Linked DNA regions of Lepisosteus oculatus. The protein of the gene in region 4 interacts with the protein of the main gene of each other region in a pairwise test. Links are inferred from orthologs where the notes say so. Each region holds a gene or a part of one and is shown on either strand. Other genes may lie near its edges. The genes, in order: eif4h, hsbp1b, kctd17 and lnx1.

The links.
Region 1: the proteins of lnx1 (region 4) and eif4h interact in binary tests that used the Homo sapiens proteins (3 or more experiments, as listed by UniProt). The two-hybrid records come from large-scale screens. The link is inferred for Lepisosteus oculatus from reciprocal best matches to the Homo sapiens genes LNX1 and EIF4H.
Region 2: the proteins of lnx1 (region 4) and hsbp1b interact in binary tests that used the Homo sapiens proteins (3 or more experiments, as listed by UniProt). The link is inferred for Lepisosteus oculatus from reciprocal best matches to the Homo sapiens genes LNX1 and HSBP1.
Region 3: the proteins of lnx1 (region 4) and kctd17 interact in a two-hybrid assay, tested with the Homo sapiens proteins (2 studies listed by BioGRID and IntAct). The link is inferred for Lepisosteus oculatus from reciprocal best matches to the Homo sapiens genes LNX1 and KCTD17.

The regions. Positions count from the first base shown.
Region 1 is NC_090721.1:256,164-263,296, reverse strand, and holds the start of eif4h (eukaryotic translation initiation factor 4H), read right to left. Parts: upstream 3,010-7,133; 5' UTR 2,955-3,009; coding exon 2,890-2,954; intron 1-2,889. UniProt on the Homo sapiens protein: Stimulates the RNA helicase activity of EIF4A in the translation initiation complex. Binds weakly mRNA.
Region 2 is NC_090715.1:14,340,620-14,348,089, reverse strand, and holds the start of hsbp1b (heat shock factor-binding protein 1b), read right to left. Parts: upstream 3,013-7,470; 5' UTR 2,863-3,012; coding exon 2,818-2,862; intron 1,525-2,817; coding exon 1,458-1,524; intron 498-1,457; exon of another isoform or gene 393-497; coding exon 262-392; intron 1-261. UniProt on the Homo sapiens protein: Negative regulator of the heat shock response. Negatively affects HSF1 DNA-binding activity. May have a role in the suppression of the activation of the stress response during the aging process.
Region 3 is NC_090707.1:38,238,774-38,246,150, forward strand, and holds the start of kctd17 (BTB/POZ domain-containing protein KCTD5), read right to left. Parts: upstream 3,007-7,377; 5' UTR 2,856-3,006; coding exon 2,433-2,855; intron 1-2,432. Other genes in the region: uncharacterized protein, read right to left, coding at 4,923-5,233. UniProt on the Homo sapiens protein: Substrate-adapter for CUL3-RING ubiquitin ligase complexes which mediates the ubiquitination and subsequent proteasomal degradation of TCHP, a protein involved in ciliogenesis down-regulation.
Region 4 is NC_090696.1:78,409,239-78,416,368, forward strand, and holds the start of lnx1 (E3 ubiquitin-protein ligase LNX), read right to left. Parts: upstream 3,023-7,130; 5' UTR 2,908-3,022; intron 1-2,907.

The DNA.
Region 1 (7,133 bases), on a different chromosome or scaffold from region 4:
CCTGTGTGGAAGCCAATGCTTTCAGTATAATTGGCATTATATTATTATAATCTTAATATAATGCCATAATATTATATCTTATTTACTTACATGCTTCCACTATTTTGTCAATGATCTACATATTCAACTGTGATATTTATCAAAAAAAGATCAGTTCCAATCCCATGTGTTCTATCATACCTTACCAGCCAGCCACTCAAATATACAATAGTAACACCTTCAAACAGAAGTAGAAATCTTTAACAACTACATTATTCAACTCATGCAGCTCAAAGGAAGGTGTACTTAAATCTGCACAGCATGATCACAGCAAGAAAAGACAGCTCATCTTCCAGAGCTAGAGATTTAAAACACACTACCCACTGTCTCCTTTGTGCTTTTCTCAAGGGGACACATCTTGCACAGCAGAGATGCACTGAGGAAACCACCCTAACAGTACTTCAGAACCACTGCACACCACATAGTCTACACAACACTCAAACAAGCTAACTAGTGTTTGCAGCTGCCCTGCATGGAGCTAGTCAGTCTGTGAGGGGTATCAAAAGCCTATTGTGAGCTCCAGACCCCTTATTTATCAATTCTTCCACAATTAAGTCTCTTCACTGGTCTCTGGTACAGCCCCTGTTAGCCCTACAAAGAAACCATCTCAATGCGATATACTGACTTTGAACTGGGTTTAAAAGAACATTTGGAAAGGATGAAAACAGCCAAGTTCACCGAGCCTCATCTTACGGTAATTTGTAATCAATCATGACATCATTTCTTCCCTTAAGCATTATAAATACTGTATGTATTCATACTCCTTCTCTCCCTTGCATCCGTCTCCTGTATCCCTCATCTCCACCTCTGCCCCTTGGTCACTCCTCACTCCGCAGGGGGTCCCGGCCTCCTCGTCCTGTGGCCAGCCCTCCACACAGTGGGTTAAGACAAATTACTGTAACCTTAAACAATCAAATCTTTTAATATGTCTAATTCCTGACTGTTGTTATTCCCAGTGAAATTTAAAATAGAGATTTTCAATAGCCTTGCTAAACATGTGCAGAAGTAAAATAAACTTTTCAGGATTAACTTCTACTTGTTCCTTTGCAACTTGCTTACTGACGCAGCTTCCTGCACAAACCTTCCCAGAAAATAAAGAAGTCTCAGGTAAAGATGGGCTGAATAAAACCGAAGGGATCTTAAGTCTTGAAAAGAAAACTGCAGTAAAAGTGCCAATAATGGGAAAGCATGGCAGCCTACACACCATTGTGCTGGCCAAGCCATGTGACATTGACGCAGTGTAGTGCAGACGGATGGCTGAAGATCAGACAGTGTGCCAAGATCAGAAAGAACTGTGACCAGAGATTTCAAATCTCACCTTGCCTCTCTCCTGCTCCATCCCACTCTACCTGATTTAAATCCTGGGCTGAATCGGAGATTCCCAGTGTGAAACCATTGTGATCCGATTCCCACCCTCCACTTGCAAGTCTAACTGAAAGTGAAGAGGTGGTTAGTAAATGTGCCAAGCTCAGGCCCGAACCATCCGAATGGCAATGACGAGTGCAAGCCTCCTGGTCTCTGGCATCATTCCTGCGCCCCTGAGTCATCAGCAGCTAATAAAACCCCTCGTCCAAAGAAAGTCAGATTTCAGGTGAAAGACTGCTCATCTACAAATGAAGCTACCCACCACATTTTAGTACATTTAGCAAACCCCACCAAACAGCTTGTAAAAAGCAAGAAACATTGTGTCAATGAACAATTATAAATAATTATTTATGAGTACTTAAGCAATTTCTTTCACAAAAGATATTCCTATGAAGTTACCACCAAAACTCCTAATGCAATTTCACTTAATATTTCTGATCATAACTAAGAATTCTAAGATCTGGTTAAAAAATGTAAATTTACAAAAGTGTACTGCAATATGCTTGCAAGAAGAGTATAAAAACACTTTTCACACACAATACGAATGACAACGAGTTAATTTAAATTCCATCTCAGTTACAACCTCGTTCTACTAATGGAAACTCAGGACTTCCACAAACCACTCTATTGCTAACCAGCCTCGTTTCTGCGAAATTACTTTTACCAGCTACTTTATGTTAGTATTTCCTGAGGGACACTACTGGTTTATATAACAAAATGAATAATCGCATGGTAATATTTGTTTAGGTATTGTGGAAACAGGGCCGCCCACGGAACAGGAACCCCCTTTGTGAAAGGGCAGTTTTCTAGATTTAAAGTAAAAAAAAATCTGATTTATTTAGCATCGGACGAAAAAGGGGGGGGATATTTAGTGTTCAGACACCTCATATTGCAGAAGAATCATTTCATATTTGTTAAAACGTATCCGTCTAGCAACATGGACAGCACAGAATGTAACGGATACTGATTTTTGGGTGGAGAAACGGGACATCTAGCCGAGTTTGTATAGCTCCGGAGAGAGCAGCGGGCTGCGCGCAAGGGCGAGTCTCCTTCACTCCGGGGTGCACCGCGCCCCCCAGCCCCGGCACCCACATGTGGCGCTGCTCTCCCGGGCTCCCTGGCGCCAACTGCCCCGCTGGCACCACGCTACAGCCCGGCTCACCAGCCGCACAGCTGCACGCCGCCGATCCAGCTGTAAAATCGCTACTACTCCGAAGTTAAAAGTCAGGAGCACATTATCGCGCTTCCATAATTTACAGTTGGGGGTCTCGGATGCATCACAAATCCCAGCGATTTCCTAATCCACCACACCGGCTCCCCATTCATCCCAGCACGTCTCCCACACCGTCCCCCGTCTCCCCCTGACAGGCCTACTCAAGTTGGACCCCGAAACCCATCGGGGCATCTCGCCCCCACACAGCACCACTTTCCTGGTGCTGGCGCTGGCACTAAATAAACATCCTGTTCCCATGGCTGTTTTCTTACCCCCTTCCACCTCCGAAGCTGCCGTAAGCCCGATCCCGGTCATCGTAGTTATCGTAATCCGCCATTGCAGTCTGTGCAGGAGAAAGCAGGCAGGAGCGTGAGGACCCGCAATATAGAGCAGGGCAGGGCTGTCCTGGCCGCGCCTGGCCAAAAAGCGACACCGCGACTGGGGTAGGAGTCCACAACTCAGTCCTGAACATTAAAAAACAAGAAATACAACACATCCCAATATTTTAAAAGCAGCGATTCAAATGTTTATTTGGTTATTGATTTGTTCTAACGGCACACGTGCCAAATGTATATCAGGGAAAAAAACATTCAATGCACTAAGAAAACTCGAAATGGTATTCCCAATGAGATTTTGTCTATTGTCGGTCATCTTTCTGGACTCAAGGTTTAACGTGTCCGGTTTCTTAAAATAAGCTTCCTGTCACAAATAATATTATTATCATTATAATAACGGATTCTTATTTATCTGTTCTCATTGTTCTAACAATTAAAGGTTTTAACCTGAAAAACAAACATTTCACAGCCAAAACCAAGACTAGAAAACTGTTTACATTTCTCATTAATAGAAGGTATTTCTAATAATAATGTGATTTTTTTCTTATCAGTAACAGTCGGTTCCAGGACAAATGCATCCAAAATTGGTGGACAAATTAATCCTGTGAAGGAACAAGTAGTTTGGTACCATTGGAAAGAAGACATTCAGCTTTGCAGCCAGCCTACACTGATGCAAATCCTTAATTGAAATGAATTAAATATGTGTAAGTAAAAAGGAATGAAGAGCAGTTGGATAGGAAGCTTTTTTAAAAATTCAGGAGATTTCCTGCTTGCTTACTGGAAAAGAAACTGAAAGTCTTGATGGTAAAGGGCCTGCTATTACCTTCTATTTATGATAGTTTCATTTTAAGATAGATAGATGGATAGATACTTTATTGATCCCGTGAGGGAAATTGCAGAACTGTACAGTACAAAATGAAGCGTGAATTCTTCAAGTAAACCTGACAAACACATAACAGGTCTGAGGTCCTGTCCACCCAGTATACTTAAAACCCAGGGGTAGTCTACAGCTCAAGTCTATCTACAGAGTAGGTCGTATCGAGTGGTGTGCCTTGTCAGAGGTGTGGAGTCTACACATTAGGCATGAACAAACTTCACTCTGACTAGCCAAGACACACTACTACACAGGGGACAACCTCAGCAAAGCTAAGTAGAACATTTTAAGGAACAAGTAATAGGTTTATTCCATGCTGAAAAGAGAAGAAAGAAAACACAACATTTCAGCTGTGGAGCCTTCTTCAGGTGTATTTTAAGTACTGGTTTAAAGATTGGTTATGTAGTGGAGGCATTGCCTGTATCTGGAAAAAATGCATCTTTAGATTGCTGCTATGTTTGGCTTTAATTTTTAAAATATTTCCAGATATAATAGAGCCAGGTAATTAATTGTATTGCTAGTGGCAACCCGGTTATTGTTTAACTGTATATGGGTTTAGCTTTGGACTCCATTTTGCACCTCTCTGCCCACGGCCTGGCAGATTCCTCTGCAGACACTTCTCGTGCAGAGGCCTCCTGTCCAGAGTGTTGGCTCAGCAGATGGTCTCTCCAGCCAAGGGGACACCTGCTCCTGGTTTCAAATCGCAGGCACAAGGGGACAGCCAAAGGCAAATGATTAAAAATCCACCCTTGCAAGTACAGTGAAGTTTTATCCGAGTCCCCATCCAGTCTGGTTAAACAAGGTAGTAATATAATAATGGTGACATGAAATATTGTTAAGGTGTAACTCAAGGGCATTAAAGAAATTCAGCCATGAAACACAAAATGACAGATATTTATGATAATAATTTCAACACAATGTTATAGTTAGCTTTTAAATATCATGATTACAGTCAGACACTTCAAATAATCCAAATAGTTTTATAATAAAACTGTTAATGCCATGCAAATTATGCAGTGAGTTATTTTAAAATGTCATTTTTTTAGACTTGCTTTTCAAATAAGTTCTAAAATTGCTGAGTCAGGGCCTTTTATTAATAGATTTCAAATGCCTTATATCCATATCTCCTTATGTTTAATCACTCTGATTTAACAAAAAATAAAAGATAAATTCAAGAACCCTAACAGAGGGTCTGGTGTGTCAGAAAATGGTGCACAATTTGTTAATTTGTTTCGGTATTTAACTGTAAAAAAGTACCAATAATGTGCACTCGATTTTTAACATCTACCCATTTTCTGATCACTTCTTCCAATTAAGGGTTGCATTGGAGACGGAGACTATCCCAGGAAGCAAAGGCGCAAGGCAGGATAACCCTGGATGGGACACAAGTCCATGGCGGTGCAGACACACACACACACACACACACACACACACACACACACACACACACGTACATGCACTTGCACCATGGTCAATTTTCCCTGAAGCTAATTAACCTACCAGCAGATCTTCAGACTATGGAAAGAAACCAAAAGCACCTGGATAAAACCCATGCAAATATGGGGAGAACATACAAACTCCACACAGACAGCACTCCAGGTCTGGAATTGAACCCAGAGCCCCAGCAGAGTGAGGCAATATTGCTAAACCCTACGCTATCATGTTGTCCTTAATTTATTATATTAAAAAGATATAACAGCTCTGGAATTACTACAGAACAGCACTTAGATATATTCTGTGAATTTACCTTACTCAACATCCTACATTGAGTGACATGAGGGAACTTCAACTTGAGAACTGAACCTTTTTGTCTTGAACAGAGGGGACCTCATCCAAATATTCAAAGTCATCAAAGGCACAGACAAGGCCATCCCAGAGGCAGTGAAACAAAAAGAGAGCACAAGTGGAAACTATATGGAAGTGCATTTAAAACTGTGATGAGGAGGCATTTCCTTACACAAAAGGTAGTGGGAGTATGAAACAAACTATTCTTTTTTGGGTGGTGCTAGTATTCCAGCCATCAGCCATGAATTCTTACTAGTTTGTGTTCACCACCAATTGCTCATTCAGGTCTGGTCTTTGTGTGCTGCCATTTCGTCTAAGTGTGTTATAACACAGGAGTTTCCAACTCTCAATAAAGCATATTACAATTTGATTTTTTTAATTTGAAAGCAAAGATGTTTTCAAAATATTTTGAAAAACTGGTAAGGAAGTATACAGAAAATGGTAAGAGAAAAAAACATATAGGTTTTCTAATGGAAATATTGCACAGGTTGCATTTCCTTGATGTTCTAATAACTTTCACTGATTTCTTGAGAGGCATGGGCCAACTTTACTAGTACCATCAAATAATGTAAATGGTATGAAGTTTTGATTATTCCGCATAAATTCTAAAATATCACATAAAGTTACAAAAAAAAATTTTTTTTTTACAAAAACTACAGGCTACTCAGTGAACACATCCCTCGGAATATCCACTGCCCATTTTGCAAAACATTAGGAAGTGTAATATTCATTTTAGGTTTAGATTTACTTTAATTTATGCCAGGGAGACAATATTCATTTTTAAAGCAAGACATTGAAGACACAACTCTGTAAATTTAAATATCTGTTATTCGAAGATCAAAACTCCCTACAGTACTAATACAGCAACTTCTCCTTCAATTTCCTGAATCCGTAACTCCACCCCCCGCCCAGCTGCGTGACCCGGAACACCTCACAATTCCTGCTCAGTGACGGCAGGCAAAGCGGCGTGAAGATATTTGTTAAAACTTTTTTTTTATTGTAACAATAACAAAAAAGTATGTAGTAGAGTACATATAGCGTCATCAAGGTCGTGAAACGTGCACCATTAAGCAGCGCGAATGAACCGGAAATGTTTGTAAACAGCCGAATTTCAATCAAAGTAAAAGTCCTCAGTAACGAGTACAGCAGCGCTCAGCAAAGCAAACACCTGCGTACTAATTTTTCTCTTTTGTTCTTTCCTTCATCTGATGGTACCTTTGTTCTATCACGTTGTGACATTTGTATGTATATACCCCTGTTTGTTGTATTTCCCTTTTGTGTTTAAAAAATAAAAACATTAAAACAAACCTGCGTAGTAATTTCGTCTAGGTTACTTGTAACTTTTTAACATTCTCTGGAATTTTTCATGTTTTTTTGTATTGCAGATCACCTCTACTGATGCCTACGTTTCGTTTCATTTACGCCCTCAAATCTGAAGAAGGTTCTGCAGCCGAAATGTTCTTTTCTTTTCCTCTCAGCATGGACTAAACCTTTACCTGTTCCTTTGAAGCTGACCCAGCAA
Region 2 (7,470 bases), on a different chromosome or scaffold from region 4:
TTACTTAAGCTGAAAAGTGAAACAAAGCTGAAAAAGACAAAAACCAAAGCAAATAGGAAAGATGGCTTTAATTCTAACCTTATGTGATCTTTGTACCCCGTCCTCTATTTTAAATACAGTTGAGCTCCTATTGTAAACGACAGCAGAACTGGTTTCATCCCCAGTCCCCCTGCAAGGCATCTAGTAAATGGCTGTGCTGTTTCTGATTTCCTTGAGGAAGGTGGGTTTTGTCGATGCCTACTCTCCATTAAAAGTCGTTACCTTTTTGGCTGACTGCGAGTCCGCGTCCTGGCTGACCTTATTCTCCCCTTCGATCTCCTCCACACCCGCCTGGGTCATCAGGTCTGCGATGTTCCTCTCCAGGTCATCAATGCGAGTGCTCATTTCGTCAAGTGCTCAGGTCAAGGAAAGGCTTCGTTTTTCAAAGAGTTCACCAGAGCTGGCAGCCACTCCCAGCACAGAGCACTGGGCACTGCCCAGTTTCCTACTGTCAGCAGGTAAGCACATTGGCGCAAAGTAAAAATGAGGTGCGGCTTTATTAAAGCAAAATCTGCCTCATTATTAATCATCACAGACACACCTCTTTAAATGATCGTGTTCCTCAGATATTACATCAGTGGGCTTGGATCACTAAATGATCCAACTATAAGACGAGAAGAGGTTATGTTTTTCTACTTTTTGCCACATTTTCATCATTAACCTGAAAATGTCATTGATGATCTTCATATGAAACTGAATGATAATGTATGCTGACCTAAAGCAAAGGATAAGAAGATCTGTACCGTGATAAAGATCTACCATTTCCTTTTTATGGAAAGCCTGCTACTGATGACTGTAACAGCAACCAGATTTTCCCCCATGTTAACTTAAACTAAAGCAGTTGATTACTTATGGGAATATAAGTCTTTATCCAAAACTGTCCATTCTAGGTTAGACTTGTAGGGACCCAAGGTATGAGCAACAGGATAAAGCATCCCTCTTCTGAGACCTGTATATGGCAAGATATCAGATACTACATTTGAATAAAATGACTCACTTTAGAATGAATAATTTTAAAATTAAAATATAAACATGATGAAACATGATGAAGGTTACAAATGAGGTCAGATTGTCAAATTCTGCTTTAAAGTAGAATACCGATCCAAGGATTATATTAATATCTAAAGATACTAGGGAGCAAACCTCATGAATATCACTGGGCAATATGTTCAGTACTTTGACAACTATAAAGAAGTGCCCCTTAATTTCAGTCCTAAAGACTGAAAAATAATGAAGCTGAGAACCTCCCTCTGTAGTTAAAAACATACTCAGTGTGGCCAGGCTACCAGTGTCCTGAGAGTGCCCTGCTTGTCCCCCCAAACTAAGCCTTGTTCTAACCTAATTAATTTGCTTTATTTTGGTAAGAGAATCATGTTCTTCCTATAAGTAAAAAAGGCACAAAAATGAATTCAGGATATTTCTTCCAATGATCTGGTCTGACATGGTCTGGAACTTGTCCTGCATCTGCTGAAGCAATGTCTGGACCTGAAGAAAAAAGAAGGAGATAACGTAATGAGGCTGTTCTTCATAGTGAAAAGAGCACACTAATAATAGAACCTCAAGCAAAAACTGCCATTGGAACGCTGTATCCCAGGAGTTCCTAACCCTAGTCCTGAGGGGAAAATTATCTTCTGGACTTTCGCTTCAGTTGAGATCCTAATTGCAGACTAAGTAACTGAGATTTGGTGTAACTAGCGTCAACCCTGTACTGATTCCCAAGTTTCAGAACTGCCCTTATTCTGGTGTATTCTACACAGCTGTAACCAACTGACCTCTGCAGAAAGAAAAGATGGCGTGTCTGTGTTCATCACCAACTGATCACTAGCAAGAGTCTTGTCTAGTTCTGTGGGCTAAAGTTGTGGAAACTGTACTCCTGACGTTGGGTTTTATTAACACTCTGGAATAACCAAAGAAGTTAAACAGAAGCCTGAACAAGCAAGCCAATTTGTGAAGTCATCGATCAGCACGGGAGATGTAGAGCTCAGCTGGCATGGAACCCAGAAGATAATATTTCTCCAGGACCAGGACTGGGCATCACTGCCGTCTCCTCTTCGTGCGTTTTCCTTGATGAAATGTTAAAATGTGGGAACTTTCATCACAGCACGAATGTGCCTGTTTAGGTGAACTGCGAGCTTCAAGCGACTTCGTAAACAGTACTGGCGCACCGGGCCGGCAGCGATTAAAACAGGCGCTAATTGCTGGTGGGGATGAACTGGTGCAGAAACTATGGTTACGACACAACACAGATGGCGTCCTCCGGTTAACGGCAATCTGGGTTTTACTCATTTATACACAGTGCCCAAACTTCAGTTTTAAACATAGCGGCGTCCGGGCCGGATCTGCACTACAGTATCAGCAGTAAAATGCAACCCGAATGCACTTCCGTTTAATATAATCACACGCGAGGGACTGTTAGAAGTCACATTTTAATCAGATGTTCATTTAGCCATTTTCTTGCCTACTCCATTTCGCAAGACAGGAGGGCAGGCATCAGGGGTGAAAATAACTGACCTCGAGCATCTCATACGTCCTCAATTAAACTGATCAAATACACACTGCTTATCGCGGTTTCAATCCTAATCTAAACACGCCTAATCTCGTTTTGAAGATGCCACATGCCAGGTGTTTGACGCCTAGTGAACGATACGGTTTTAGAGCTCCCCTTGCCAATTCAAAATTGCACAAACGATGAAAGTGGGATTTACAGTACATACACAGCAGCAATCAACAAGGCCCCGCGTCCCTTCGGAGAAACAGCTGCTTCCTTTTCGCACTTACCACAGCTGTAAGGTCCTGTACCGACTTCGGATCCGTTTCCGACATGTTCACTGATAAGGTGTTTTACACCTTCCACGCCTGGATATATTGTTTCTGTGTTGAAAATCCTCCAGAATATGAGCGATCACCACTAGCACCAGAGTGAACCAGACACAAACCGTGAGGCTTTGGGCGAGATCTCGCGAGAGCAAGTGTGCGCGATTTCACTGAGAGTGCTCATGGGATCTGTAGTTCTTCTTCTTCTTCTTCTTCTTTTTCACAGCCTTAGTCCCAGACTGTCCTGGGGTCAGATGCTTTGGTTGCTCTTCTCCACTTGTCTCTGTCGAGCACATCTTCCTCACTCACTTCACATACCTCCATATCTTTTCTCCCACAATCTATCCATCTCTTTCAAGACTTCTTGATGTCCATTATTTAAAACCCGGAGGTGAATAACATTTTGTTTAATTAATTAGCGTTTCGTCTAAGATCTAGAAAACAAATGTCACACAAGTTTCATTTTCAATAAAAATATTTCGTTTGTATCGTAGGGGCGCATTAACTTGTTCTGTATTTATTTTTCTGTTGTAATCCATCTGACCAAAGGGTGCATGCAAACATGCAATATAAAATACAAAAAAAAATGTTTTCCTTACTAATGTCCTCATATAGATCATGTCGGTAATTCATAAAAAGATGAAGAGAACGTCTGAACATACTGGACACATTAAAGTGTAGAAACAGGAAAAAAGAATGCACTTTTATGACCAAGTTGGTTAACGTTATAAATCTAAAACTGTGTATCAGGAAAGAAGAAAAAACAGAATCATTAACAGCCTCAAAGTTGTACGAGTTAAAGGAATTTAATATTTTTAATTTCGAACCAAATCAAAACGTAGAAATTTATTTTAACTAAGTAAGGATGACTGAAAATTACTGTTACTTTGAGCTCTTTAACGATCTTATTTGTAATCTTATTTAAAAAAAGAATAACGAAGAATGTTACAATTAATATGCTGGCTGTATAAATGATATCTCTTCAAGGAGGGTGCTACATGTACAGTAGTTTGTGAAGTATGTAAAAAGTCAGATTGTCAGAGTCAGTTTGATGGGAGACTTCAAGCTCAACAATGAGACAAACACTTGAAAATCAAAAGTGGAAATGAAGAAATCAAGCGTGTACTATATAGATTTAAAATACGATTCTTGACTGGGAAGCTGTGTCAGCGTGCATTATCTGCAATGGAACATGTAAAGGTTCATTTCAGACTGAAAAGCAGAAAGAAGAAACAATAAAACGATTTTAGAATTCTGGCCGTCACAGAGGACAGTCACCACCCCGGGCATGAGCTCTTCACCCCACTGCCCTCAGGCAAGAGATAAAGAGCATACGGACACTTACCACTAGATTCTTCAATAACTTCTACCCACAAGCAGAGCGATTGGCGAACACATTTGGCCATGTCCCTCGGACCACACCTACACCATCTACCTCATTATAATTTCTTAATTATTGCACATCTCCAGTCATTGTTTACACGTCTGTATTGTTTACATTCAAACTGTTTACTTGTTTACTTGTACATTGTCTACTGTTTGTATATCGTCTTGATGCACTGTCTGCACTGTGTTTTTACACTTGTTTTAATAATCAAGAGACTTTCTGTAACTAAGAATTCCATTGTACCAGTAAATGTACCGGTTACATATGGCAATAAAGTTCTAGTTCAAGTTCACTCACAAACAAAAAAATGTTTCTTGTTTCCACATCTCATTGTGGAATTAACCTTTACCTGTTCATTGTGAAGCATAAAGTAGTTCCAGAGGCTGGTCGTCTTAAGATTTAATAAACACTTGTGCAAAAACCCAAGGATATCTTTGACTCAGTCAGGGACCACAATGTTTATAGAATGTACCTCACTTCACTTGTGATTTTTGCTATTGCAACAACCTCTACCGTTATTGATAAGCTTAGTTTGAGTGAGAAAAAAAAACTTATCAGTCAGGAACATCTGTAATTCACATTGACCAGAATCTTGAAGAAAAAGACGATTACAACAGCTCAAGGTAAACAACTTAATAGTGTTTCATTGCGTTGCTCAAAGCAGTTTGGTAAAGGTTTTTGCTATAAGTGTAGCAAAAAAAAAAACACGTCACAGTTCTCCCATTATCTTTGCAAACAGGCTTTTTGTGTAATGTTACATTTTTTTTTTCAGGAAGGGTGGTACCATTGTATCTCTTACTTTTCCTGAAAATGAAACCGAGACATTCAGCATGCAATGATGCAGTTCTCAAATTCTTACCTTGTGAGTAAAGCAAACGAGTTTTAGGTCTTTCTCAGGATAACCACGTGAGCACGCCAATCCCACAGGAAATTCACTTCTTCATCGAGATCTGCGGATATTTGCATGTAGATATTTTCGTTGAGTTTAATGTTTTTACACTTGTAACATGTATCTCGCAGGTTTGAGTTCTCAACTGATGGGCTGATATGTTTTATTAGGTTGTAACACCGCACAGGTAAATATGATTTTCTATTTAAATAGGAACAAATAACAAATCACTTTAAGGAGAAGCGACAGCGTTGACTGTTTTCTTTAAACGTGGATATTCAAAATTTACAACTCCCCCTTTAACAATTGCATTTTTAAACTATCGGCGAATCAATGTTAGGTTCGTCTCTAGCAGTTATAATGTTATTTGATTTATTGTTTTTTAACGCCCTAATAAAAGTCAAACTCCACTAAGAAACTTTCAAAGAACTAAATTTAAGTGAGAGTTGCAAATGACACACGAATGATAACAGTCTTGAAGTAATATTAATGTTCCTTTATATCGCAGGAAGTGTCTTGGCATCGCTGTGGCAGCTGTCAAACGAGTCTTCGCCTCACTAAGGTAAGCAGTGTTTCTTCTAAATCCCCGCGTTTCACTGCAAAAAGTAGCACTGCAAACAGTACTACACGATCTGAAATAACATTATTTTCGTTATTAAAATTACAATACTGTCGAATTGAAACAAAAGTGCTTTTTTTTTTCAAATGTTGTGGGTTTACAGGCACTAGCTTTGAAGTTCCTCAAAGCGCTCCGTACAGCAGTTAGCCTGAAACTGAATTTAAACTTTACAGCCCAGCTACAGTGTATTGCGGGCATAGAATCTACGGAGAACTGCAAAGGATTAGATAAACTTAAAATAAAGCCGGTGGTACCTGGAAAATTACAGGTCGTAAGCAGAGGAAGTTACATTAAAAGAGACAGAACACATAAAGATAAAAAGTAAAACGCGTGCGCTTAAACGGTGAACGGTATACTGCAAGTTTGTTTTTGTGTTAGTGTTGATACGTACTTTTCGTGCGTTTGAGTCGAATGACTGTACATTTTTAATGGTTGCCAACTAAGGCAATGTTTCGCAAGCAACTCGGCGTCCCAAGCAGGTCATCCCCAGTATCTGTATGAGTTCATGGGAGATTCTAATCTTAGCTGCAGATCCATTACTAAGAACCCATTTAGAGAAAGTGTATCCGGTTTCGTTCACCCTGTGGGACAAGCCCACTGATGCTGGCGGTGACCACCCACCTTTGCAACGAGCAATGCGTGATTTATGTGGGCGCTGTAGTACGCAGGGTGTTGTGTAAAAAAGTTGAATGAAATGAGCAAAGCTGCACAGCACCGAGCATTCCAAAGAATTATTGGTAATCAGCAACTGTGGACACCTGGAAATACGCACCTGCTGTTGAATAAGCTTTTTATTTACCAGAGTGGAGGAGGATAGCACAGTTCAGTTATACAAGGCTTTTAAAAATTATTATTTCCTTAAATTAATGATTTTCCTTTTTCATCATGCAGTCAAACTCACGCTTTGCTGAAAAGTAAAACTATCAAATGCCATGTTCAAATCACGGCCAGTTTTGTACGAAATCAATACTTTGGTTTTTAAACAATTCACTGTCAGAATGGAGATATGGAGCATTCTAACAAGTATGTCACTATAGAAAGAAATCACCTTTATAAGAAGACTTAATCAACTAATCTGACAAATTATGATGAATAGAGGGTATTTTAGCAGTTTTCTGGCCTCTTCGTTTAAACTAAGCTTTTTGAACTTGAGGTGTAACCCATTTGGTACGGTATTTCAGTTTCAATGCCTCGTGTTTCACAATTCTTAAGTAAGCCATCTTTCTTTTTGAAATGATCAAAACATTCGCTTGCTAAATACAATGCATATATTTCAAATGCATCCCCTTCAAAAATATAGTGTTTTGCATATCATGCTAATAATATAATGCAAAAAACTGTTTTAGAATTTATTTGTGTATATTTAAATAGAGTAGCAGATGAGGGCTACAGATAAGATGTGGCTATTTATCAGTTTGAGGTAATACATTGACAGACCAACCTAAAGTAACACCTAAAAATAAAGCTTTTCTAGTAAAATTCGACATGCTCTGTGTATGAAGTGGTTTTCAAAAGAGTCACTTTTTCTTTCTACTGTAAATACCACCACTGTTTTCATTAAAGTAATTCCTGTTGAGGCCTGTCTAATACGGAGCATAGCTTTTGTAAATGACATTTAAAGCAGGATTAAGGCCTAGAGCAGATGTGTCTCATTAAATTTGAGAACACGTCCTCTCAGGAATTCTCGCAGGAGATTAGGTTTTGTGGAACTGCAGCAAGTTC
Region 3 (7,377 bases), on a different chromosome or scaffold from region 4:
TAGTGTCAGACTAATCGACAGACAAATACAGGTGCTTCTCCTGCCTGCTCCTTGCTCTTATTAGACAGGAAAACAAGGAAGAGGAAGAGGAAAAAGGGTTTTGGGGACCTGCGTGTAGGGTGACAGAGGAAGAGGAGGAGGGTGGGTTTTGGGGGATGCCAGACAAGCCCAGGACAGCTGATCAGACACCCCACTGACGCTCAGGTAAGGGGGGCGTCTGCGAGAGGTTCCCCAGCTTTACTCACACCCTGCTGCAGCACGCAGGGTCAAGATGCCAGTCCAGCACCCCGCGAGGAGAAACCGGTACAGGCCGGTCCTGTTTCCGCTCGGCAGGTTCCCTCCAGAGCCTGCTCTCCCGCTGTCCACAGACGCGCTGGTGCGGGCAGGGTGACCGACTCCCGGGAATACGGCTGTGTCTGTGCCCGTGTGTGACCGACCCCTGCACCCTCCCCACTGGTTGAACCAGACCTTCGATCCAGCCGTTTCCGGAAAGAAAGCCTGTTCCCCACTCCCACCGCCCTTCGCGTACAGAACTGCCGCCTGTTCTCGGTTGGAAAAGCTGTCCCCCGCAGCCGGGAGCGGGCTCCTAGCCATGGAGTGGAACGGCCCCGTCTGGAGGGCCTGCACGGCGCTTCCTGAACAGCAACCCCAGCGATAAGATCAGCTGCTGGGAAAAGGGCCTGTTTGTTCTGGTCTCTCGGCTGTTGTGCCTGCAGGACAGGACTGCGCCGCAGATCCCCTCCACACACGCGCTCACATGCACACACACGCACGGCAACAGGCCTTCTGCACGCAGCCAGAGAGCAGGCACGAGAGAGAGAGACCGCACGGACTCAGGTGGGACCAAAAGCTTCGAATTTCAGGAAAGCAGAGTTCGAAAGCAAGAGGCGAAGCTTAAGAGAGGATAAGGCAGGGGCTGAAATCGAAGGCCACAGTTTAAACAGGTCTGGTCTGAAGCACAAGACATTTATCCCAAGCGGGACGAAAACAGGTTCCCAAACAGCTGAGCGCACCTAACTCGGAAAGGAAAAGAGGGGAAGAGAAAGAGCTTCGTAAAATAATCCAGCAATAAAGCAGGATCCAGTTAGAGGAGAGGAGCGCAGTTTATCGTGCGCTCAGGCTAAAGGCGTATCGGGGAAGCCCAGGAGATAGACCGAAAGGAGGCTAAAAAAAAATAAACAAACATCCTTCCGAGACACAAACGGGACCTTTCTAATCACGCCAGGGAGCGGGCCGAGGTGCAGAACAAGGGTTTCAGCTCAGGTGTTCGCCGAGGAAGGAGGCAGCAGCACAGCCCCGGGCAGCGGAAGCACTCAGGTCTGTGTCAAACACAAGAGGGAGAAGCCCTAAGGTCACTAAGGCCCGGCGGGAGCCCGCCAGCTGGACTCCAGGAAACGAGAGGCGTCGCTCAGACGCCGCTGAGATCGCACCCCGAGACAGGGCCCGCACCCGGGACTGGAGAACCGCTCAGGCAGAGCCCACCCACAGGGAGGGCGCCCATCTCCAGAGCGGGGTCTTGTTGGGGGTCCCTGAACGAGCAACAACGGTCTCGATGAACGTCCATCTCCAGGAGCCTCGATGGGATGGGGATGATGGAGTTAGGGGGAGCAGGGGCCCTCAGCTCTTCCCAGTTTATATCAACGACCTGGATTCCAGTCCAGTTAAGTGAACGAGTCAACACTGGAGGGGAAACCTGCAGATTTAAGAGGAGTTCACTTCATTGGCCAGATACAATTTCTTGCACTAGGAATCTGTGAGCAGCAAACTAGAGAAGCCACAAATGAAATTCGAGGGGATCTGGTTTCTAAAGAGAGGCGACCCAAGAGACCAGCGGACTCTTTAGAGCTGAGCGGAGAAGACGGGGTGGACCCGAAACCACTATCCAGAACCCTCCCAGTCACCCACCAGGTGAATCCAGCGGACTCCTTCAGAGCCAGCAGAGTAACACCCGCTGCTGGCCAGGTGGGAACTGAAACCGTGTGGAATACCGTTTGAAACAGAGAACAGGAGGCAGGTCTTTACACAGAGGGTGGCGGGGGTGTGGAACGAGAGCTGGACCCCATTCCGAATTGTCGCCATGGCGGACACCCTGGTTTCCCTTCAGGAAGCAGGAGGAGATCCTCGGAGTTCACAACCAAACGGTTCTTACATGTAGGGAGCAGACGCACACCCAGATCTTAATCACGAGCACCGAGCAGCTGAGCCCCAGACACAAGAAACTCAAGTGTGTGTGTGTGTGTCACGGGGCAGCAGGCCGGAGGGAACCCGGAGCCCACCCCCACGCCAACGCCCACGCCCCGAGACCGCATGTGATTGTCTTTGTCGTGTGTCACGTTGCGCTACGAGGTGAAGATGGGGACACAGCCCGGGTCGGGACGGGTCGGGACAAGGTCAGATACCCCCCCCCAACACCCCGATCCGCCCCACCTCACCGTGTCGGAGTGCAGGTCCTGATGCTGACACAGCCGGTACAGGAAGGAGGTCTGCTCCTTCAGCAGGGTCTGGCGGGTGGTGAGGAACACGGTGCCGCCCACGTTCAGCCGGACCCACTTGCCCCTGCCGTTGGGGCCGCTGGTGCCGGTCCCGGCGGTCCCGGTATCGTGGGAGGCGCAGTCCGGGCCGGCGCTCCCGGGCTCCGGGCAGACCGAGGTCGGGGTCGCCGCCGCGGTGTCGCAGACCTCGCCGTCCGCTTTGGAACCGGGGTCGCCCGCAGCGGTGGCGGTGCCGGTGCCGGTACCGGTGCTGTTGCTGTTGTTGTTGTTGCTGTTGCTATGACACGCACAGGGGGGCCCAGCCTCCGCCGCGCGCTGCTGCTGCTGCCGGCACCCCCCGCTCCGCTTCTCCTCCGTTGCCATTTTGACGGGTTTCCCGAGACAAAAATCTCACGGCTCCCTCTTTCTTCCTTCCTTCCTTTCTATCTATCTTTCTCCCCTGGTTCCCTCTCTCTCTCTCTTTTTCCCTCCTTCTCCTCGCCCCACGCCTCCTCCCCGTGCCGTGCATGCGCAGACGGGAAGTGTAGTCTTTAAACAGCCCGTGCGCGGTGCATTGTGGGGTCTGTAGGCTCCCCACTGGGAACGCCGTCGTGTAAATCGGGGTTTCCTGCGTGCAGTCGAGTGCAGGCTTGAGCAGTCACCCCAAATCGCCGATTTCTAAAGGGGAGCATCTCGTCATTCATAATTCAAATCCAGCGAGTACCTTAATTTATACAGCTCTTGTCCATGAAGACGGTTCACCGTTGCTGCCCCTGGTGATCTCTGAATTTCTGGATTTCCAATTACATGCTTAATTGTTCGTTTTTTTTTACGATTGACACCTGTATCCCCAACATATTTCCCAAAACTCTGAATTCAACTGAGTTCATAAACATACTGGATCACCTTCTAACACAACTAAACTGCGATAACTTTCATTTTATACTTCAATTTCATATGATATATTGTTTGCTTTTCTCACGGCCTATGGCTGATTAAGGCACGGTAACCCCCAGTGTTGACAGCACGGTAACCCTCACCCCCAGTGGCACAGAGCTCTTATATTCCTGCCCCAGCGCGGAGAGCAATAAAACTCTGGACAGCTGCAGTTCAAGTCTGAGGTTTTTATTTGCAGATAAAAAAGCAGCTTAAACGAAGCCCCTATAACTACGACCTTCGTTCATGAGGTCAGTCAGGCGCACGCATGACCACAGACACCCCCAGTTCTCGGCTGGTCGGTTTGACAAAATGGGATTTTTTTTCAAGAGAGCGCGGACGCAGGATGTCACGACAGGCAGCCGCTGCAGTTCCTGGCCTCACGGTGCAGCCCCGAGCCTAGAAGCGACCCCCCCCGGTGGCGGGGTATCACGGTTCTGGGGCCGCTGTCTGCACCCCGGCGCACCGTCCTCTCCGCTTCCCACTCAACACCGCCGCCTAGCGGACACTCCGCGCAACCGCGCAATCCGACTTCACTCGGCAGGCGGCGCGTCAGATGAGCAGACGAGTTTCCCCCCACAAACACACACAATAATAATAATAATAATAATAATAATAATTGCTTACACTTATAAAGCGCTTTACAGGTCACGGGGATCCCCTCCACCCCCACCAGTGTGTACCCCACCTGGATGATGCTCCAGTCCGCTCCCCACACACCAGCTCTCAGTGGGGAGGAGAGCAGAGTGATGAAGCCAGTTCAGAGAGGGGGGTTATTAGGAGGCCATGAGGGGTAAAGGCCAGGGGGAGATTTGGCCAGGACGCCGGGGTAAGACCCCTGCTCTTTTCAATTCCTCTCCCTGATCAATTCAATTCCGACACCCTGATCCTCCGAGCAGCTGTCGGGGGAGGTGGGGGGCGCCTCGCACGTAACCCCCTCCCCGAGCCCCGAGTCGGGAAGGGAGTGACAGGAATCGGGAAGGAAAACAAAAATCAGGGAGAAAGAGAGAAAGTGATCATCCCAACCCCCAACCCCTCACCCCCCCGGGGTCACCGTGCAAGGGAGCAGGGACAGGAGGCGCAGACGGATGAGGAAAACAAACGGGGGCGCCCCTGGAGGTCTCCCCCTGCAGCCGAGCCAGCGGGCGCCCTCCTGACCTCACAGAGGTCACACAGTCGGTGTAGCGGGGCTCTGATCGCAACGCTGCCGCAAGAGGCAGGGGACACAGGAAACAGCCGCTCGCCCCTGCGTCCGGGGGCCGGGAGGGGCCGGGAGGGGCCGCGCCAAGACAGCAGCAGCCCAGCGCCCTGCTCGCCTGAGTCGAGCCCCGGCAGAACGAAGAGGCCCGGCCCAGGGCAGGGCGCCCCCTGGGGAAGACGCGCGGCGGCCTGCGTCTGCGCGGGGTGTCCGGCGGGAGGCGTGGGGGCCGATGAGCGCAGTCTCCGCGGCCTGTCGAGCGAATGCAACGCGACAGCGGCCTTCCGCGGGATCTGACCTTTAACCCCCCTCCCCCCTCAATCGGCGCACTGCACCGTTTTGGTGGTCACCAGGGCGGCGCCGCCGAGCTCAGTGGCAGGTAGCGGAAAGCCGTGCTCTTTCCTGCCGTTGCAGATGTACACCTTCAGACGCCCCTCCTCCTCCTCCTCCTCCTCCTCGCCCGCGGGAGAAGAGTCTGCCAGCGTCCGGGGCGCCTGCACACCGGCCGCCACCCCGTTGCCGTTCAGGTGTGGACAGGAAGTGGGCGGCTGGTCGTCCTCCTCGCCCGGGGGGGCGCCCCCCGCTCCCACCCGCTGCAGCTCGCTGGGGGGTTCTGCTTCCGGGTCGGCTGGAGGGGAAACAGGAAGCACGTCAGCGTCACCGCCCACCGGCCAGGTCACAGCGGCGTACTGGCCTGTGACTACACGTGCGCCAACGCGGGACCCCCGACCTGCCGGGTGGGAGGGCGCGTGACGCCGCAGGACCGACGAGCGGCCCACTCTCAGGAGACAGTGCGGGCCACAGGCTGGGCCGGGTCAGTACCGCCATGCGGGTCCTCTAGGGAAAACCAGGTTGCTGCTGTAATGGGTGTTAGGGAACCAGTAGGTGGCGCTTTTGCCTGTGGCCACTGGTGCTGGGAGCTGTGTCTTGCCCTGGGGGGGCAGCTGGTGCAGACTGGGAGCTGTGTCTTGCCCTGGGGGGGCAGCTGGTGCAGACTGGTTGCTGTGTCTTGCCCTGGGGGGGCAGCTGGCGCGGACTGGTCGCCGTGTCTTGCCCTGGGGGGGCAGCTGGCGCGGACTGGTCACCGTGTCTTGCCCTGGGGGGGCAGCTGGTGCAGACTGGTCGCTGTGTCTTGCCCTGGGGGGGCAGCTGGTGCAGACTGGTCGCTGTGTCTTGCCCTGGGGGGGCAGCTGGTGCAGACTGGTCGCTGTGTCTTGCCCTGGGGGGCAGCTGGTGCAGACTGGTCACCGTGTCTTGCCCTGGGGGGGCAGCTGGTGCAGACTGGTCGCTGTGTCTTGCCCTGGGGGGGCAGCTGGTGCAGACTGGGAGCTGTGTCTTGCCCTGGGGGGGCAGCTGGCGTGGACTGGGAGCTGTGTCTTGCCCTGGGGGGGCAGCTGGTGCAGACTGGGAGCTGTGTCTTGCCCTGGGGGGGCAGCTGGTGCAGACTGGTCGCTGTGTCTTGCCCTGGGGGGGCAGCTGGCGTGGACTGGGAGCTGTGTCTTGCCCTGGGGGGGCAGCTGGTGCAGACTGGGAGCTGTGTCTTACCCTGGGGGGGCAGCTGGCGCGGACTGGGAGCTGTGTCTTGCCCTGGGGGGGCAGCTGGCGCAGACTGGGAGCTGTGTCTTGCCCTGGGGGGGCAGCTGGTGCAGACTGGGAGCTGTGTCTTGCCCTGGGGGGGCAGCTGGCGCAGTACAGCCCCACCTATATGTAAGAACGCTTTATAGATACATAGGCTTCTTCTTCTCTTCATTAGTCCTCCTCCTCTGAGCACTGATGCGCTTGGCCACAGTGCTCAAAACAAGCACACGACAGGGGTGTTTATCACTCCTTCAAGTCGCCTGAGGCAGGGCCCAGCATTTCGAAGAGGCGACACCACGAACTGCAGATTCACAATTTCAGCCCTTCAGGTATGACCGGTCCCGAAGAATGAATCTCAAGGATCAGCGAATCAGCGACCTGGTAGAAACCGCTGGTCTGATTCGGGGCTGCATTCGCAGTTTCCTGGGACCGTCCTGTGACTGGCGGGTACAACCCCCCCCTTTCACTTCCTGAGGTCAGAGGTCAGCGCTTCCTGCTGGGGGGTCAGGACGGTATTCGCAGCGCAGTGGGAGGAGCAGCGCCCCCAGGAGGCTGCACCACGGGCGCCAGGCCCTGCGGGTTCAAGAGAAGGCAGAGTCTCTGCAGCTGTGGGTTCGAGCGGCGGGCCTGACCTTGCCAGGGGCCCCTCGCAGCAGCAGATGTGAGCAGGGCAGGAGATTTGGGTTGTCAGGGTCCCTAGAGACAGACTCTGAAAACAGAGAAACGGAAACCTTCGGGGTGGGGGGCGGGGGGTGTCACGGTTGGGCTGCTGCAGACCAAACTCACCCCCCCCCTCCCCCATGTACACAGACCTCACCAAACCCCACGGGGCAGAGAGACAGAGAGGGGCGAGTCAGAAAGAGAGTGAGCACGAAAGAGAAAGAGAGAACGGGGGCGGAGAAAGAGAGAAAAAGATCCGGACTGGGAGAAAGAGAACGAGACAGAGAGCAAGTAAGAATGAGAGAAAGAGAAGCGATGGAGAAAGGCAGGCAGATAACCCCCAGCGGGCCAGGTGCAGCGCTGCAGGGCCTGACGCAGACGCTCACCCGCGCCCAGGTGCAGCTCCAGCAAATTCCACTGTGGTTTGGAAAGGAGTTATCGAGAAAACAGCAGGAGCGGACAGTCGTAGTCCCAGAGACCCCCAGTCCGGTTTTATGGCTCGACTCTGCGTCGTCCGATTCAGAAGGCTGGCAT
Region 4 (7,130 bases):
TTGCTTGTTCCTTTACAGCCTGCGCCTGCTGACGCAGCTGCCCACCTGAACTGTTTCAACCCTTAGTTTCCTAGACATGACCAGTGAGACAGCCCTGGGCAGGAGTGTTACAGCAAGCGGAAGACGCCGTGGAGATGCGTGTCACAGAAAGACGAAGAGGAAGGCCAGGGGAGGGCCTATGAACGCGGCGCAGTGCCTGCAGCTGGCGGAGCGCAGGTGTGGGGCTGCACCCTCAGACCACGCAGTGAGAAGTGGAGTTACAGTGAAAAACAAAGGTGCCTTTGTGAAAGAGCAAGATCACTCCAATTGTGTCTGCGCTCCGCGGGGCTCTTGGGAAGACAGCCTGTGGATGAAGGGTTTGTTTCCAGCCTGGCAGTGACACCAGACATTGAGCAAACAGGCAGAGACAAGCCAGGTTACTGAACAAGAAGAGGAAAAGGTACAGGAAGTGATCTACTGGCCCTCAAAAGCCACCTGAGGTTTAATTGTGTAGAGAGTATTACAACACTCTTGTTTTGGACAGAGAGATGGTTAGGAGTGAACGAGTGTCAGCAGACCGCGATGACCAGTTATGGAGGGCTGACAGAAAGTCTAGAGCACATCAAGAGCTTGCATATGACAAAGAAAACACTGAGCTATTGTTTTGTTATAATCCCTTAATTAAAAGCATCATATTTTGAAAAGCACAATTACGTGTTTCTGTAGCTGGCCAGGGGTGCTGGGATTCAGTTTCCACTTGCAGCCTGGCAGGGTGTCAGCCCAGCACGGAGACGAGGCCAGAGGCAGCTGTGGCTTGACAACAGCAGAGACCCACTGCACTGCACTCGAGCTTTCGAAACACCATTAGTAATCAGAGTGTGTGACGATCCTGTAGATAAGTCCTCTGTCTCAAAAATATGATGACAGGTCAACACTTGACATTTTACATTTTCATTATCCATCTTCTTTATCTGAGAAAAACCAACACAAAGAAGGAAACAATCTACAAAGTTGTAATTTGACTTTTAAAGTGTGCTCAGCACGGACTAGAACCTAGAACCTATTGCTCTGGCTGAACACTGACTCCCAATACAGGCAGTATAATTGAAAGAAACCTACAAATGACTTTTTCTGTCATTCAAGCTGTGCCTGTGGCAGAGCTTTTAACTCGAGAGAAAAAGGAGAACTAATCGAAAGCTTGCTTTAAGAAATATTGTGCTGTCTAAAAACAATTCGATAGTGACCAAAATAAGGGATAAAATAAATAGAAACACAAATGTTAGTTGCGTGCATAAAAGGATGTAATATAATTAATTGGTACTACATACAATTGAAAACAAATAATCACCACATTTTTTAAAGAAGGCCCAGAAAATGCTTTAACTGGAATTCTAGTAAATGGATTCTAGTAGCTCTGTGACCTATGAGCCAGTGGCCACACACAAAAGCAGTGAATGAACAAAGAGCCCAGTGTTGCAGAACATCTGAAACCTGTATAAAACATTTCCCTACTAATACAAAAGAAAGAGCTTAAAGTAACTCGAGCCACACAGAACAGAGGAGCTTCAGGAATGCCCTGCATTGGATATTCAATTCAGTTGCACCTTAAAATACAGTGCTCAGACAAGGATCAGCCCACACCCCTAAAGGAGTAATTCTGTCACGGTCGTTATGATAGGTTGCTTTCATGTCATTCATAGGGCTGTTTCTGAGTGATAGAAACTTCCCAGTCACGTAACTGAAAAGTAACCCTGGTAGACTGATACAGGTTGTGCATGACAGAAAGTTTCAAGTCCTGCTGCTGTGAACAGTGCAACATCCCACGGACATACTGTATACTTGGAAGCCACATGAGGCTTGTTCATAGCAGACAAGGAAGATACCAGTTTATTTGCATTTTGACAAGGTCTCATCATCGGGTAATGGGGTTGCATTGGCTTAAGAATCCTATGTAATGATACAAGTGCCTTTGCCATTGCACTGATAGCTCGACCTATTCCTGCAGGGGTTAAGGTCACTATGACAACCTCTGTTTCTCTAACGTCTGCAGCAGCCTGGAGCTGACCTGCGCTGTCGGGCACACAGCCCCCCAGAGCCCTGCCAGGCTCCCTCTCTGCACCAGAAGGCTGCGCTCAATGAGCTTGTGAAACAAGAGTCCAGGTGTGAAAGACCCAAGACAGGTGCTACATTTGCTGTCTTAACACTTGGCTTTTTTAAATGGCAATAAACAGGGATTTTTTCAATTATTATTTAGTTGTTATTAAAATTATTTTTACTGAACTACAACCAACCTACAAGCAGCATTCAGAAAGCCTCCTGAGGAATTGTTTCTTATTAAACATTGGCCTATCAAAGTCTTTCTAAAGTCATTAAATAAATATTTATATCAACTACAGACACCTAGATGAGAGACAGTCACACCAATATGGATTTTAAAACACTTTTTAATTCCAACTAAATTCCAACTAAAGTCCCACTCAATAGCAAAGGTTTTTCAATACAAAAAGCGCTGTGGAGGATATAAAATGCAAGATGGAAGAAAGGACAGGAAGAAGGTTAATCTAGATGAAATACAGCCCAGACAGTTAAGAATTTCAGTGAGTGAATAAAATCTAAAACACAAGTAAGAAATTAATCTAAAAACTATTTGGCTTTATTTGTCCTGGACAGAAAGGAAATAATTTAGAAAAGGTAGAAAGCAAAAACAATTCTGTATATTATATAAAGCATCTAATCCACCTATACCTGCACACACTCCCACAAATGCCCACTGTCCTTGAGTTTAAGTTTTCATTATGTATAAAGCATATTTAATTTCCTCGGCCCAGAAGACGCTAACAGCAGGTGAGCTGTGTCGCAGTCAGTGCATGTACAGTTACACAACTGCATAGCTCTACTTTAATCTGCAACAAATTGCAATGCACTTACCTTTAAAAGTTGTACCCAGACAAATTCAACCGCAACAGATTTGCCTCTCTGCTAATCCTTTAAACTCATTTTTTAGCTAAAAGGAGCATGGGCACACATTTTCTCCTGGTCGCAACTGCACACACAAGGAGAAGCAGTCATGCAGATTAGTCCTTGAAACTGAAACAAGTGTAGCAGAACGTCAGAGGGTTACAGCACGACCGCTGTCATTCCCACAGACTTGACCCCAGTGTAACCGAATCAGAATCTCGCACAACACGAGAACTACATATTTGTAGCCACGATCATGACAAGCTCCTGTAGGCCCGCATGACCCCAGGCAGTCAGAAAATGAATTCTGGACTTGGTGCAATGACTAAAATGGCCTTGTTAAGGCCTGTTTGTGTGTTTTTGTATCCGTTTTAATGGCAGATTTCAGGCTTAGTTGCCCTGTTTGGAATTCAGCTGTGGGACCTACTCGGATTCTGCTTTGAAAGGGGACTTCCCCAGCCATTAGTCATTGAAGAGTGACGTTAATTGTCTTATTGGCAGGTAGTGGGCTAATAATTCACACTATCAAGGATTCTGCGAACTTGCAAGATAATGAGCCAGGTCCTGGAGAGCCTTCTGAGCAGCTCAACGAGTGGCATGTGAGGGCATGCTAAATAAGTTGCCCTGGGAATTTCTTCTCTGAGCTGTTCTTTTTTATCTCTAATTGCATTTATTATTCTTTGGACAAAATTCAGGCTGGAACTGAATTTCTTGTGTTCAGCTAAAAGACAAAATATCTCACTTCCTCAAAGTTACAGTTTCTCTTATCAAACCTGGATTCACTACACTTTGGGGTAAAACAAGGTTTCCCGAAGCAGGGCAGAATCCAGGCAGTAACCATTAAACAGAGTATGTACACTTTCTAGGGTGTTGGCCAAACTGGAGTAGTAGAATTGCATTAATATCGTATGCAAACATGATACGGTACAATATGTACATGCTACGACTGTGCTGTTAGATTCTAGGGAAACCTGACTGCTTGAACCCCTTGATTCAGTTTTGCTGGAAAAGGGGAAAATCTGTTGAGTTGCAGTTACATCCAAAAATGATAGACTGCTGGAGAACTGCAATTTTTTAAACCTTTTTTACTTTGTTAATTTTATCGGGTGTTTTTTCTTTTCTGGAAGGCAGGAAGGGTTTTGTCTACTGCCCCCCTTCATAACCAGGCCACTGAATTCATTCAGCGTTTCAGTTTGGAAAGTAGCAAGTTACAACTTGTGCTAATTCACGTGCTAATGATGTTGTTGTGAAAGTCTGGAACAATCTGCCCAGCTGTACTGTTAAAGTTGATACCTGACTTCTTTCTGGAAACATCTGGATGAGATGCATGGATGGCTTATCTACTAACTACCAAGTGAGCGAGATGGGCCAGACGCTAGAATTCTGCTGGAGAATGCTGCTGCAACAGAGGTGGAGTTGGTGTCCACCAACCCTTTCCTTTATAATGGATCTCATTCACGAAATACAAAAGCTACAACACTGAGAAAGATACAAACTGCAGCTGCACTCCTCCCTGCTCGTTGTGGTCCTGAGGACCCATGTATGAAGTATAAAAAGTGTTTGCGATCGCACCACAATGATCTAAGGGGGTTTCAATGAGCTTTCAAGGGCTTCACAACTGTGTTGACGAGTGTCCTGAATATTTCATCTGTCTGTGCATTTAGAGACACTTTCATGTAGAAGGTGATATATGGATTTAAGGCATTATTGCTGCTGTTGCCTTACCCATGTTTAACGCTTCTATCTATCAACCACTGACAGTAAATCTTTGCAAGGGGTCCTTCATGAAGAATCAACAATCGCACATACAGTAGTCTCTGTACTGTATTCATGTATTCTGAGGTCAGAATACATGGATAGAATAAAGATACAAATAAAATGCAATTAAGTTCTTATGCTTCTGTGATATATTTCAGCAATGTCTCTTTTAAATAAAAGCTGTTTTAACATAACAGAAAAACAAAAACAAATTGCTTTGGCATATTTGGGATTGGAAATAAAGTTGAATTACGATTCATGGTTTGTATAAAGATGCATTAAATTAGTTTTTACACCTTCAGGTGATAGTTTGTGATCTCTTTCCGATTTACATTATTAGATAGGAAGAACAAAAGGGAAAACACCTTTTCCCACTGTGTAATTGTTGGGGTTTGTTGGCCTTTTTGTCTTGAAATATTGTATGTGGGGAAAAATTACTCCTTCACTAAAACAGGGGTCTAGTTTCTTCCACGATTTGTATTCACGGCTCGTGTCAAAGAGGGTTTTTCAGGACAGCCATCAAGAAATACAATTTGTAGTTGAATCTGTAGGATAAGATCACACACAGTACACCAGTAATAAATTGAATCTGTTGGATAAGATCACACACAGCACGCCGGTAATAGAAATGCTTTCTTCAATTATGCTGAAAGTGATATATACGATAACATCCTCACCTTCAGATACCAGTGCATTATGTAATAAATAATGACAAAAATAAACATCATATACTTTTTTAACCTTTTTAAATTTGAAGTATGCAGTAGTTTACTCTAATTGTATGGTGGGGAATCAGAAAGTGGAATCCTTGTTGTGAGTAGTAGAAAATAAAATAAACGTATTGTGATCATACTGTATATACAGTATTTACCATTATATATTCTGTTTGTGTCCTATACAGCTCTTCTCTTGCAGTTTCTGTGTGCAGAGACACGTAATGTGGAAGCTGTATTGTACCAAGCAGTAATTGGAAACAGATGTAAAATGTGTAATAGTGTCCTCAAGGTAGGACTATGAACTCCATGTGAAATTTGAAAATCATCTCACATTCCTTTTGTGAATAGCCTTGCCTTCTCTTTACATATAATGTCAGGTTGCTATGGAAGCATCCTTGAAACTGGTTTGCACGATAAAGATTTTTTAAAATTAATTTCCTTAAATTATAATAGTTTGAGTGCACATAAATTATAGATTGGGTTATGTCGTCTTCCAGCCTGATCTTGTCAGTTCTCAGAAGTTGAGAAAGGCTGGGCTTGCTAAGCTGGGCTGCTGCCTTAAGTGGTGTTTGGTGGAACAGTAGGTAGCTCTCTTCCCTTTGGGATACAATTTCCAAATCAATGACCCAGTGTAGTATAGGAGGTCCAGATGAGAAGAGATTGTTCAGAAGAGATATTAAACTGATGTCCTGACTACATGGATATTAAAGCTGTTTCCAATAGAGGGATATTAATCTTGGTGTCCTGGCTGAATACCACTCTGGCCTCCCTAAAGTCCCCCCTTAATTCATCTGGGAAAGCAGTTTCTCACCCATGTGGTTTGTTCTGTACTTCAAGGTATTCTCAAGGATGAAGTAGGTCCTCTTCAGTTTTGAAGCACTTTTTATTTAACCACATTACATGTTCATGAGGACCGCTAAAAACCCAAGAGAGTTAGTGAACTATTTAACATAATCTTGAACAGAATGAGGAAATGTTTGTTCAATTTTTATTGTTGCTTTTGTGAGACTCAAACTATGTGCAAGAGCAGTTGCTATTCCTATGAAAATGTTTTCATTGTATTATAGAAATTGTCACTTTTTTATTAATTTGGTTTAGCCTTTCTCAATATTCAGCTGCTGCAATGTTATATTCAGCTGTTGGAATTTAGAGCTTGAACTGTCATCGTGATCTGACACAGAGGAAAAGGCAACTTTTCAGGTCAGACTCAGGTCAAAGGAACATTACTAAAGTAGAAAGTGATTAGTTTTATATTTGTCTTAGTCCTTCACCTAGTTTGTGTAGCCTTAAAAAAGAGAAAATGACACATACATTTTTTATAGAATTCTGAGTTTTCCTTAATACTAATTTCACCCTGATTGTTGGTCAGTTTGTATAATGGATATTAAAATGTCAAAAACTGCTAAGTCTGTGTTTAATGTATTTATACATTATGTATAAAGTAATGAGAAGAACTATCTCTGCATAATATAAGAACTACATCCCCAGCCTGTTGTTGGGAACGCGCTTTCCTTCACTGCCTGAGAAAACATTACAACACACGACTGTGTGAAGGCTGAGAGAAAGATCTGGCGTGACTGCCTGGGCCACAGCACTAACCCACCAAGCCCAGAGGACGAAGTGAAGTTACGCCAGTAAGCTGTAAACTGTGGCCTGTGCCACATTGGGAATTTCACCCACAAAGGAAAGAGTAACTGAGTATCTTTATTACAAACAAGT